2 linked regions of the Arabidopsis thaliana genome follow. The protein of the gene in region 2 purifies or fractionates together with the protein of the main gene of each other region. This does not show direct contact. Each region holds a gene or a part of one and is shown on either strand. Other genes may lie near its edges.

What was found.
Region 1: the proteins of SUB (region 2) and OS9 purify together in Arabidopsis thaliana (affinity purification with western blotting, with the first as the bait; one study listed by BioGRID). This does not show direct contact.

Annotation. Positions count from the first base shown.
Region 1 is NC_003076.8:13,353,548-13,358,649, forward strand, and holds OS9 (ER lectin-like protein), read right to left. Parts: upstream 3,338-5,102; 5' UTR 3,179-3,337; coding exon 3,085-3,178; intron 3,008-3,084; coding exon 2,931-3,007; intron 2,209-2,930; coding exon 2,005-2,208; intron 1,928-2,004; coding exon 1,853-1,927; intron 1,761-1,852; coding exon 1,666-1,760; intron 1,585-1,665; coding exon 1,518-1,584; intron 1,441-1,517; coding exon 1,334-1,440; intron 1,135-1,333; coding exon 1,005-1,134; 3' UTR 609-1,004; downstream 1-608. Other genes in the region: AT5G35090 (uncharacterized protein), read left to right, coding at 4,989-5,102. UniProt on the Arabidopsis thaliana protein: Lectin which functions in endoplasmic reticulum (ER) quality control and ER-associated degradation (ERAD).
Region 2 is NC_003070.9:3,720,773-3,728,178, reverse strand, and holds SUB (Leucine-rich repeat protein kinase family protein), read right to left. Parts: upstream 5,472-7,406; 5' UTR 5,045-5,471; coding exon 4,954-5,044; intron 4,611-4,953; exon of another isoform or gene 4,577-4,610; coding exon 4,447-4,576; intron 4,350-4,446; coding exon 4,278-4,349; intron 4,113-4,277; coding exon 4,047-4,112; intron 3,956-4,046; coding exon 3,884-3,955; intron 3,801-3,883; coding exon 3,729-3,800; intron 3,650-3,728; coding exon 3,578-3,649; intron 3,504-3,577; coding exon 3,438-3,503; intron 3,341-3,437; coding exon 3,275-3,340; intron 3,192-3,274; coding exon 2,698-3,191; intron 2,602-2,697; coding exon 2,243-2,601; intron 2,153-2,242; coding exon 1,881-2,152; intron 1,808-1,880; coding exon 1,669-1,807; intron 1,586-1,668; coding exon 1,470-1,585; intron 1,334-1,469; coding exon 1,177-1,333; intron 1,064-1,176; coding exon 1,001-1,063; 3' UTR 729-1,000; downstream 1-728. Other genes in the region: AT1G11145 (hypothetical protein (DUF674)), read left to right, coding at 13-63, 135-467, 543-647. UniProt on the Arabidopsis thaliana protein: Regulates the expression of transcription factors that define the cell fates.

The sequences.
Region 1 (5,102 bases), on a different chromosome or scaffold from region 2:
ATATAACGATCAATTCCGGAAAAGACATAGCTTTTTTATTTTATTTGATCGTGAAGGAGGCAGAGCCTACCACTTGTAACGATCAATCCGGAAAAAGGCATAGTCTTACGAATCACGATGTCTAAAATATTTCTATTCTATAAACATAAACGAATTAAATACCATAAATTTTACTTATCTCATAAACGCTCAAGCGGTAAAGACATCATGCTGATAACGTGTTATAAATCATAAGCAAAAAAAAAATATTATAAAAATAGAAATATGAGAGTGAGAGAGTAGACGAGAAAAAAAATAATTGTTTGCTTTTCATCTTATGTCTTATGATTAACAACGAACAACCATATATATACAAACAAAAGATTTGGTGATGAAGTTTTGTAGCTTGGAGAGAAAGACTTTTAATGGCTAAGTCTTATATAAATAAAATCAAAAACTAGATGGATAATCACTAATGATTATTGTTTATACCAATATGACATTAATGAAGCTCAAAAATTGAAATTTGCGTTTCACATTTGTCATTTGTTTGAACTAGGCAGCTCTAGGGAGTCAAGTGGTTCTGGACACAGAAAAAAAGGCGTTCTCTCTTATTTCTTATCTTCTCAACTTGTTAAAAACCAAAGGTTTTTAGTTGTCAAATTTACTTTAAATATCAATTTGTAAACATATTCTTCGATTACAAATATATAACTTTACCAAAATAGAAGAAACACACACAAAATCAGCCTACACTTGGAACAAATTCATTAGTGAAACGGAAACATATGTGTTACATGAAGCTTGCAGTCTTTGCTTCACAAGTGGTTTATCAGTACCTTCTATTGAAATGCTATTTTAAGTATGCAAAAAATTACAGAGAGAGTATCATCATCCTACCAGCAAGCGATCCCAATTGAAACCATGATCACTACAGCGGGTAACACTGAAAATGGAGATATGCTAGTTCTTGTATATACAGTCGCTGTTAACTCTTACTCTTAGGTGATTCACTTAGGCGGTTTTCAAGAATCAGCTATCATCTTAGGTGATTCGTCTACTGCTTGTTCTTCCTTGTTTCTTGTTGCGTCTTCTTCCACTGGGATCGCATTGCAGTGGATCGTGTGTGACACTGGTTTCTCTAGCTGGAACAGCCTTCAATTTCCACAAGAACAAGGTTAACAAACTAACGGATCATAAGCTTACTTATAAAGCAGTGACTCGTGTTTGGTAATTAGCATTCAAGATGAAACATATAGTTACACTAGTGTTTCCGTTACGACATGGTCTTTCAATGGAGCAGGAGTAAATTCACTTTGAAAACTGGTTTTCAAGTAAATGAGATTTTGCTTACGGATGCTTGCACAAGGTTGGGCACTGAACAGTCAGTGCGTACTTGCAAGTTGATAATTCAGTGATTGAAGTGACCATTGCCCTTGTTTCTGCGCATACAAACCTCACCTGCATAGAGCAATTTCAAGCATAATGAATCATAATTCAATGAGCCCAAATGCAATGTAGTAAACTAGATTACATACCTCGACTTCGCGAGGTGATCCTGTAAGATCACAGGTGGTCCCATTGGTGTATACATGAGAGTGATACCTGCAACCACACCACCATAACAGATTAGCTGAGATATATCTTTCTGCTGCTATAAAGGTTATGTAAAACCTCAGCTTATACCTCTGAGATGCATCAGTTGAAGCATCAGAAACAGTTTGATTAAACGCCGCAGTTGCCTCTGGGTCAAAAGTACCCAAAAAAAACTCTTGAACAATCTGCAGTGGCAGGATACAAGGGCCATACCATTAGATTGTGATTCAATGAAGGATTAAAGAAGAGTAAGAAAAGAGAACCAATAAAAGCCAACCTTGTTTTCATCCTCAACGTGTAGCTGCCGCACATACTTCTGATGACAAAACTCATAAGACCACCAACCCTCTTGCTGCTCAAATCCAGGGAGGGATTAGTTTCAAGAATTTGTTAAATAGGGTCAAAAGAAACCATTTTTGAAATGCTTACCCTAAAAAGACATTTTTCACTAAGTGGTTGAAGCAATTCATCAGGAGTCTTTAGCTTCACCAGTTGCTGTGTTTCCATCATCACAGTACTAATATTTTGCTGACTAGAAGTCCATCCACTCGTCGCTTTTTCCTCTTTCGGTAAGTAACATAAAAACCGATTTCCATGCTTATCCAACATAACCATTGATTCCAGATTATCACCCTATAAAAGCCAATATTAGCGAACCAAAACGCCAAAATCATAGAGGGATCTCTATGTTACAACTATCTCTACTCAATGTAACTCATGTCAAAGTGAAAAATAAGCTTTAAATCAATAGCTTGTGATAAAAAAAAAAGCCAACACTTATCGACCATAACAATAGATTCCAGATTCTCACCCTATACAAAACAATACTAGAGAATCTAAACACCAAAACCACAGAGGATCTCTAACTTAAAACTATCTCTACTCATTGTAACTTAAGATCAAAGTGCAAAATAAGTTTCAAAACTACTATACTCTTATCCATCGTAACCACAGATTCCAGATTACCACCATATAAACAACAATATTAGAGAATAAAAAACACCAAAACAACGGAGGATCTCTATGTTACAACTATCACTAATCATTGTAACTCAGGTCACATGGCAAAAATAAGCTTCAAATCAATCTAAATTGTGATTTAAAAAAGCTAATCTAATCCACCATAACCATAGATTCCAGATTCTAACCCTGTTAGTGACAATCTCTATGTTACAACTATCTCTACTCATAGTAAATCATGTCATAGAGAAAACGTAAGCTTCAAATCTATCTAAAGTGTGACTAATAACAATATTAGAGATCAAACACCAAAATCACAGAGAATCTCTACTATTAATATTCAATTAGTGCAAAAATTAAGCTTTTTGAAATCTATCTTAAGATTGCGTTATTACCGGGTGAAAAGGTGAATCTTCAGGAAGGAACTCAATCTTGTACTTTGGTTCACGATTGTTTCTGCTGAATGTTCCAACTATACATAAAACATTGAATCAAGACAAAACTCGAAATTGATCGGAAAATTATGAGAAGAGAGGAAATGATATAGACCTAGATGAGCTGGGAAGATCTGATCGGACCAGACATGGGAGCTTGAAGACAATGCCACTATTACCAGACATAACAAGATCTGCGTGATTCTCATCTTCTAACCGGTACGAAAAATGTGAGATTGTGAAGGAGAATAGCACCGGACGGTAACAGGCGACGGCGATGTAGACGATGAGGTCGCTCGTCGAGTGTTATTAGCTGCGGTGATGTGACTAATAAGACGGCCACGCAGGACATCCAATTAAAATTCGACACGTAATGTTATAACTCAACAAATCTAATTATCGTGTTACAGTGTCGGGAAAAATTTCATCAAAACCAGGTTTCGTTCAAACCGGTTATCCAATTCATCAAAACTTAAAAGTGGATTTATTTTCTTATTACACTTCTAGAAACAAAAATCAAATGGAAACTATAAAAAAATTCTTTCGAAAATGCAACAATTTTATATAAATGATTTGTAATTTTTTTTTTTTAACGTCTACTTTTATTGATGAAAAATCATATCTAACATAAACAAGAAAAAAATAAGAAGAACTTACAAAAAACCAACTAAGGTTGAAGCAATTTAAAGTTTTAACTTAGTTTTTTCATTGATTTAAATTTCAAACCAATTATGAGTAAAAGTTTAAAGCGAAAGTGCGAAAACGATTTTCCCACGGCTTATTTTATCGTATTTATAAACAAAAGTTTCCATTATGCCTAAACTTACATTAACTAAGTCAGAATTTAAATATTTTTCGTTGTAAATATAGTTTATCAGCTATATTTACAATCTCAAATATATAGCATTATCTACACCCTCATGGTCCTTCCATTGACTGGCAGTCAGGCCCGGCCCATGACATATTTCTAAGAAACATGGGTATTGAGCCACCAAAAGTTTTAAGGTTTTTAGTATCAAAATTATACCTCAAAAATATTTGTTGCCTCATTTTCTAAATTTTTTAGATTTAGTCTCAATTTTTAATTTTTATCTATTTTCTATTGAATACATAGGTTTCATTTTCATAACATTTTAAGATTTGGTCTCAAAAAAAAAAAATTCTTCTATAAACCCATAAAAAAAAAGTTATTTTGAGCCTCATTTTTCACAAGACAGGCACTGCTGGCAGCCTGGCAGCAAATAATTTGGTTCAAATGAAGGATTTCCAAGTATGCCTTTATAGCTTCGGTGACAACTAGACAACGACTTCACCAAAGAGATGGAATTTTGCTATGGGATCTTCAAGTTCCTTACCTTTAATGCAAATTTAACGATGAAACCTCGCAACACATTCTTTGAGTGCACATTCTCTAGTGAAGTATGATCTTAATTCATTTCTAAGGCCCATATTGATCCTCCAAAACTGTTTGTGGATACTGAATAGAGTTACATGGATAAAAGACCTCTGCCAAAACAAAAATGTGACAGTCGAGAAAATAAAATCCAATGAGGTCTTTTAATATTAAATGTTTTTAGGCTTTAGCTATGCCGTTACTATATTCACAAATCAAAATTGGTCCAAAATTTTCATATTATCCTTTTAACTTTATAATCTTAACTAATTTAATAAATTACTATAAATATTATTTTTCCTACCCTAAATATGTCCCCCCTTGCTCACAAAGTCAAAAGACTCATTAATATTTAACGTGAAACAAAATTGAACCTCATTTTAATTGGAAATTCAAATATTCCTAAAATAGTAAAGAATTTCAACTTCTCCTCCGAAGTTTTGGTTAAACAGTTCATTTCAAGAAAAAATAATAAATGAAAATCAACCAAATATCTCGTCGATCACTTGTTTTCTGTTTTGTTTTTCTTTCCTCTAATACAGATTTGATCTTTCTTTCAATGTCTTCCTTCTCTTTTGCATTCCTTTGTTGATCTAACCAACAAACATTGGTTTTGTAAAAAAAAAATGGGAAGCGAAACAATGACCAACTTGTCTCTACAAAAGAAACTCAAATCAAGGTTTTGCATCGCCGGATGTTTTCGTACGACCAATCATCACCACCACGACAACATTCCCGAC
Region 2 (7,406 bases):
TACCCGCGCAAGATGGAGGTGAAGCAGGGACTCACTCTGTTTGCTAGGAAGCAGGACATGAAGGTTCTTGACGCTGAAAGCGGACACGACTTTTTGTGGATCTACTTTTCATTTTCCTTGCTATCCCTTTGGAGTCTGTATGGGAAATCACTGGAAGCAATATCGACCTAGTATGCATTGGCAACTTTTGTAGAAGCTTGAAGGACTTGAGCTCTAGGGGAGGCACAGATGCATCTACTAACACATGTATGCTTCCTTGGCAATATAGTTTGCAGAAACCGTTGCTTGGGGTCAGTTATTTAAACAGTGACGGTAGTTCTCAGTCGACACCTCATGGTAGCAATGGGTTAGTTAAGAGAGGGGCAACATACATTGTCTCAGATGATCTTACTATTTGCGTAAAGAAGAAGTTTGATGTGAACTTGGACGATATTTTTGAGCATGAAATCAACATTGGCAAAACACATGTATATCTATATTACTATTCTTTCCTGATATTTTTTTTTGAATCTGACACTAATCCAGGCCATAGGTTTACTAAGAGCCTCATTCGTGACATCCACTGCCTTGACTACGGCTTTCGGGAGCTTTCTTTCAGAGAAACGACTCTAAAGCATCAATCACATGCCCTCTGTGGAGCAGATTGATTTGAAGTTTAGGTTTTGTTGTCTACAGTGCTAGTTGAACAAGTTACCTTCTCTTTTACACTACTGTTAAGTACAACCTTTTGTTCTTGAATTTTAATGTCTTTTGATTCAAAAAATGTTTATCCTTTTCAGAAAATAGAATCTAAATACATGATCAGGTTGGTGAATAATGTTTGAGCCGGTAATGGGATTGGGGTTACATAATGATGATCCCATAGCTCATTTCATACAGCCAACAACATACATAAAGTGTTATTATAATACAAAAGAAATACTTTCATTCATCAAAGGACAAAGAACAAGAATCTGACAATAAACTATTGCTTCTGCGTCTTAGTCCAAGGTTGTGTATCTTAGATCATATGTTGAAGATCTTGGACTATTTCTGATATCGGCGGTCTAAATCCTGGTTCCATCTACAGACAAAGATAAGCATGCACAGAAGTCAAAAGGGTTAGTTAATATTCTGATGTCACGTGTTTGACATTGCTTTCTCATCTAGTTAAGTGATGAATGAAGTTAAGTTTACCTGCAGTGAACGTGATATGATATCTGCAAAACGTGACAATGATTTCATTGGATACGCTCCGTGTAATGACGGATCAACCATTCTTGTCAACGCATCGATGTCATGAAGCCGAGGAATCGCCCACTGAGCTAGTGTTTGATGTCCCCTCGGCCTTGTCCTGCAAAAAAAAACAGGGTTTTGTCTTGAGATAGTGTAGTACAGTGATTTTGCATAAGAAACATAAGTGAACATGTTGACTTTTGAGTTCAGACTCTTTTATGGCTTCTATTAGTTGTCTCTTTAGAGTAGCTAACCTGTCAAATGGTCTGCGTCCAGTGAGCAGTTCTAACATTACAACCCCAAGGCTAAATACGTCGCTCTGACAAGTGTAGCTTCCATACTCAACCTCAGGAGCGGCATAACCCGCCATCTACAATTTTATAAGCAAACATCATATCCTTTACAACACTCACTCTTATGTTTGGGATCTTCAAAATAAGATGACAAATTTACCTGACTCGTTGGGCGTGGTGGTAACATATAAGCCAAACCGCTGTCTGCAACACGTACTGAGAGCTTTCCATCAAGAAGAACCTTGGAAGACTTGAAATTCTGGTGAACAACCGGCGGTTGACATACCTCATGAAGAAACCTGAAACCAAACTCTAAGATCCTATATGTTCCAAATATAGATTGGCGTAACATGTTGAGGTTCTTTAACTTACTGCAATGCCTTTGAAGCTCCTAATGCAATATTTATACGTACATTCCAAGTGAGCTTCTTGTGCAACTTGCGATCCAAATGTAGTGCATCTTGAAGTGATCCATTAGGACAGTACTCATACACAAGTAACCTTTGACCAAACTCGTTACAGTAACCAAGAAGCTCCAATATATGACCGCGTTTAAGCTTCAACACATTGGAGACTAGATTGAGGAATTCGCCGTCACTCTGTGTTCTGTTGATGGTATTGCTCAGCTTCTTCACCGCAAGAAACTATAGATCACAACGTGTCAAGACGTAAATAAGAATGCACAGCATAAAATACTGTAAGACCAAATGACAAATAAGAGGAAAGTGTCACACCTTTCCATGACGAAGCTCAGCTCTGTAGACATTACCAATCGACCCTTCCCCGATTATATTCTCTTCTGAGAAATTATTTGTGTATTGCTGAAGTGAAGCAATGGTGAAAACAGTAGCAGAAGATGAGGAATTCAAGCCCGGGGGGAAATGAGCCGCTCTCTTTGAAGCAGTATCATTGGACTGGAACTGCCTCGGTGGTTGTTGCAGCGGCTTTTGAGGTGTATTAACATCCTTATTATAATATGAAGTAGGAGGCATTGCTCTCCGGCTCTCTTCAGCCCGCTGTGGCATTGGATACCCATATTTCCTGTCTCCAGCTCCATATCCATCGAAAGGCTTAACCATAGGCTCCCGAGAAACTGCAACAAAAGAAAACACCACAGCAGTTTGCCGTTAGGTAATGAGCCAAAGCACAAGTTTCTTTTCTTTTCTTGGAAGGAAAAGAATCAGTGTACCTTTTCCCATAGTGGGGGTTGGTTGAGATGGAGGCTTATTGAAGTATGGTCGTTGTAAATCTTTACGAGCTCCACTGTAATATCGGTTATATATTTTACTTCTGCAACATCTCCAAAGTGTAACACACAAACCGGATACAAGAACAATTATGGCCACTGAAGAAACTACTAGAATGATTCTTTGAGTGGACCAGAATTTTCCTGATCCTGAACCTGAAGGAGGTGATATTTGCAAGGTAGGTTGCCCTGACACAGAGTTCCAGGGATCTCCTCCTCCATTATCAGAAGAAGGTGGTGACCAGACCAGAGGTGGTGATGGTGGTGGATGTTGTTGTGGTTGCAGTGGAGCAAAAGGAGCAAAAGGTGCTGGGGGAACACCAGAAACAGGAGGGATACGGGGAACAGGAGGAGCACGGTGAGTAGCGGGAGGAGGATCAACCACAGGCGGAGGCGGTGGTGTTATAATCGATGTATTGAACGGAGTTCCATCTTTTCTGCGGTTATAATGACAATGTAACATGAATGGCTAAAGAAAAGGAAAAAAAAAACATTCAAGTTTTCTTTTAGTAATACTTACTTGAAGTTTGGAATTTTCAATAGATTTGGCGGTATAGGTCCCGAGAATAAGTTGTTTTCTACATTCCTGAATCAAAAATATGAAAAGCCATAGTGAGATACTGAAGTTGGCTTAATGGTTGGAGAGTCAAGAACAAAGAGTATGCAAGGTGAAAAACGATTACAAATCGGTTAAGAAAAGATCCTCTATAACATCAAGTGTTCCTGTGAGCTTGTTGTCCTGCAAATACCTACAGTCCGACCACATCACATATAAAAGCAATGATAACAATGTTTGTATACGGTTTCATATATGTGCACTTACAATATCTTAAGAGAAGCTAAGTCTCCCATGGAAGAAGGTAAATGCCCCTCCAGTATGTTAGACGATAAGTCCCTGCATTAGAAACTTAATGTATAAATGAAAGACGCTGATGGGAGGATACAAAATGAGACTTAGTGAGGAGGAAATATACAGTTTTGTCAGTTTTGATAGCTGCTGAAAGTAATCTGGTATCTCTCCTGATAGAAGATTGCTTCCCAATGACCTGAAGGGAAAAGAAAGAGTCTGCTTCAAACAGAGGAAAAACCGCAGATGCAAGAAACGGTATCTACATTAATAAAGACTTACAGTTCAGACAAATCGGATAGAAAGGACAATGTAAAGGGAATGTTCCCAGTGAAGCGATTGCTTGAGAGAGATCTGAAACAAGAAAATGAAACCAAACATGAAGTGTCTTTTAACTGTTGGAAACATAAGTATTGCCATACACATAGTCAATTCTCAAACGCACAGGTTTCGGATGGAAGAAGGCAAAGCCTGCGGAATTGTCCCTGAAATATGATTGCTACTGAAGTCCCTGTCCACTCAAACAAAGAAGAGAGAAAAAGTATCACAAAGCAATTCAAGATTATAACCAAACCTTATAGTCAATGGTAACAACATCTTGCATGTTCTTCACATAGCAAGAAGCCTCATACAAAAGATGAAGATGAAAGAAAACAAGACAAGAAGCTTTGCTTACATGACTTGGATAGATGAAAAATCAGCCAGAGTATCACTTAAGCCTCCACCTACCTTCATGCCAGGTATCCTTCTGCAGCCAACAACAATAATTCACGTGGTTAGAACCTGAATTGGTGACTCAAAGCAAACCATAACAAAGAGTTACAAGAGCAGAAGAGGAAGTATACATTTCTGTGATGTTTGAGGAGTCACACACCACACCTTGCCACTTTTCTCCACAAGGGTCTCCTCCAAAAGCAAGCCAATGATGTAGAGATGGTGCTCCCAAAGTGATATACAAGTTATTAATCGCCGAAACTGCAGAAGTTATTAAACAACAGACAAACACATCAAAAAGTAAAATTTCTAGAGATTAAAGAATCTTTCTTATGATAACCATTTAATGAAGAACAATAAGAACAAATTTCTTGGTCTTGAACTAAAACCCTAACAAGAGCTTATGTGTCAAAAACCTAAACTTTTTAGGGTTTTTGAGGTAGCCTCAAAATCATAGAACTTTGCCAATCTGGAGCTTCCCAAACAGCTATATTGCTTACCTAGTTTACCCTAAAACTGATGTAAGTCATTTTCACTAGACACAAGTCTAAAAAAAATCTAGAGTGTTCACTAAACCAAAAGAAGGAGAGTCAAAGCAAAATCCAAATAAAAAAAACTTTGCAGAGAAAGATTATTACCATCTCGTAGATTAGTAACTCCAGCTGAGAAAGGCATTGTCAAGGCTAAAACAGAGAGACCAAAGAACACTTCCCATCTTGTAAAGCTCATAACTTCAGCCACTGAAGATGAGAAAACCCTTGAACTTGGATTAGATTGTTTCTTTCCAATAAAAAACGAAGATTCAGAGGGAATGTTATGGAAAAAAAACACGAGGAAGAAGAAGAAGAAGAAGAAGAAGAAGGGTGAAACAGGGATATTCCTGATTAAAAGGTAAAGTGAATCATAATTTCGTCGGATTTTTAGGAGAGAGAGAAAGAAGAAAAGAGATGAAGAGTGAGTGAGAGAGAAAGAGTGTAGTGTGTTTTGTCTCGAAGAACGAGCGGCTTACAAAAGCCAACGGCTTTGTTTTTCTCAGTTTTAAGCCTTTAAGGTTTCGTCTCCAAAGTGTGAAACAGAGAAAACTTGCCAAGACTTGTCTCTCTTTATGTCTTTTAATTGTCGCTTCTATGCTTCATCTAATTACTATAGTTTCCTTTCATGTAATAATTGGATTTTTCTAATGCCATAAGGTAGAGAGATAGAAGTGAATATTATTTTGATGTAGATTACATATTCCGTTACTTCACCTATTAAAATCCAAATAATGTAACAGGCAGAGTTTATCACACTTATTTCAGTGAGATGGGCCAAGAAAACAGTTGAAGTAAGAAAAGCTCTGAGAATTCTTTAATGGAAGAAGAGAGTGAGAGACCCTACAACAAGGTCAAAAAAAATATCATCATATTCATCCCACGTCCATTTTTGCTCTTTTGGTGATAAAAATGTGTGAATTAGTTTTAGTAACAAACTAATAGCAACAAACTATTTGAGAAAACTAGTACTTTTACATGGTTTGGAAATTGATTTCAATTATACATCTTAGTGAATCCTAATATATGTTTTTAAACAATTAGAGCCAATAAAGGGTTTTTTCTTACGACTTTAAATTGAATATACTTAGTAATTATACAATAATTATCTTTTCAATATATTCTAAAAATAACTAACTAATGTTATATGTATGATTGCACGGTGCATTTTGGTTACCATTCGAAACCTTTGTTTTTCTATTAATAATTAAGAATTCTGGTTTTGTGTTTACAGTTACAACTAACAATCACTATTTATCAATTTCTTTGGAATATATTCTTAATTTGTATTATTCTTTGTTTGTTGGTTGATGTGATGGAGGATTTGTGTACAATTCAATAGTAGTAATTTAATGGAATGCCATCATTGCATAATTTGAGATGAGAGTAACTTCGATATTCATATGTGATTACTTCTCAAGTTCCTTTTTTGGTAGGAGTTACTTCTGAAGTTCTGATATTCACATAAATTATTTGCAACCCGAATAATAACAGCAAACATACATTGTATGATCAATAAAGAATAAAACATGCTTGGTGAGCTTATGTGTTGATATTAGATTTTTATTTTGTCGAGATCAATTAATTATCAATCGATTTTTTTGGCTTGTCAAAATCAATCAAGTTCACACCATACACGATAATAAGTTGCGACTAGTTAAAAAAAAAAAACCACATTCTTATGGGCTATTCAAACCAAATGTGGCCCAAACTTGGTCAATAGTGTAATGGTAAAGCCCACTTGAAAGAAGATACCTCTCGTAGGCCTAATAATGCAATGAGATTGCAACGGTTACTTTCAATCTTTGAAGAAAAGTAGAAAACTATCGTACATGATGCTTTTTTGCACCCAAAAAAAATCGTACATGATAACATTTTTTTTTTTCAAAACCAATATGCCAAGTGCCAACCATAATAAACCGAACCAAAATCAAATAAATAATACCGAATCAAATTTTTGTTTCGACCGAACTCGACCCAAAACTACACCAATCAGGTTGGATTCATTTTGATTCTTGTACTTCAAAAAATCAGAAACCCCATATAATAATGATTGTAGCACTTATACATGCATACCAAATTAGTTATGAGATTGGAAGATGCATGATAATGAATTCAAACTATTGGTCTCTTAAAAAAGAGTGTCGAGGAAAAAATACAGATATTGTAAAGTTAGGCTTTATTTTATAATATGGTCTCTCATTACGCAAAAGGCGAAACAAAATTAAAGAATGCAACACTACTTTATGGTCACCCGTTAGCCAGAGGATCCAAGGCACATAACGAATGTTTTATTTATTTAAATCAAATCTAGTTACGTATCTACACGAATTTTGGTTCAAGTTTTGGTTTTACATCACCCTAGCTTTTTCCGCCCTACCATTTTACATCAAGAAGCTTCAAAGAAAAAGTTCTATAGATTATGAAAAGTCAAAAAAAGAACTTAAAAGAATTTGTTAGACGATACTTGGATACAATTTGCTGTTATGCACTTGATCGTTTTGAAAATATTAAATTGATCAGAACTATTGAATTGTCTCGTTCCATTTTCATTTTCCAAT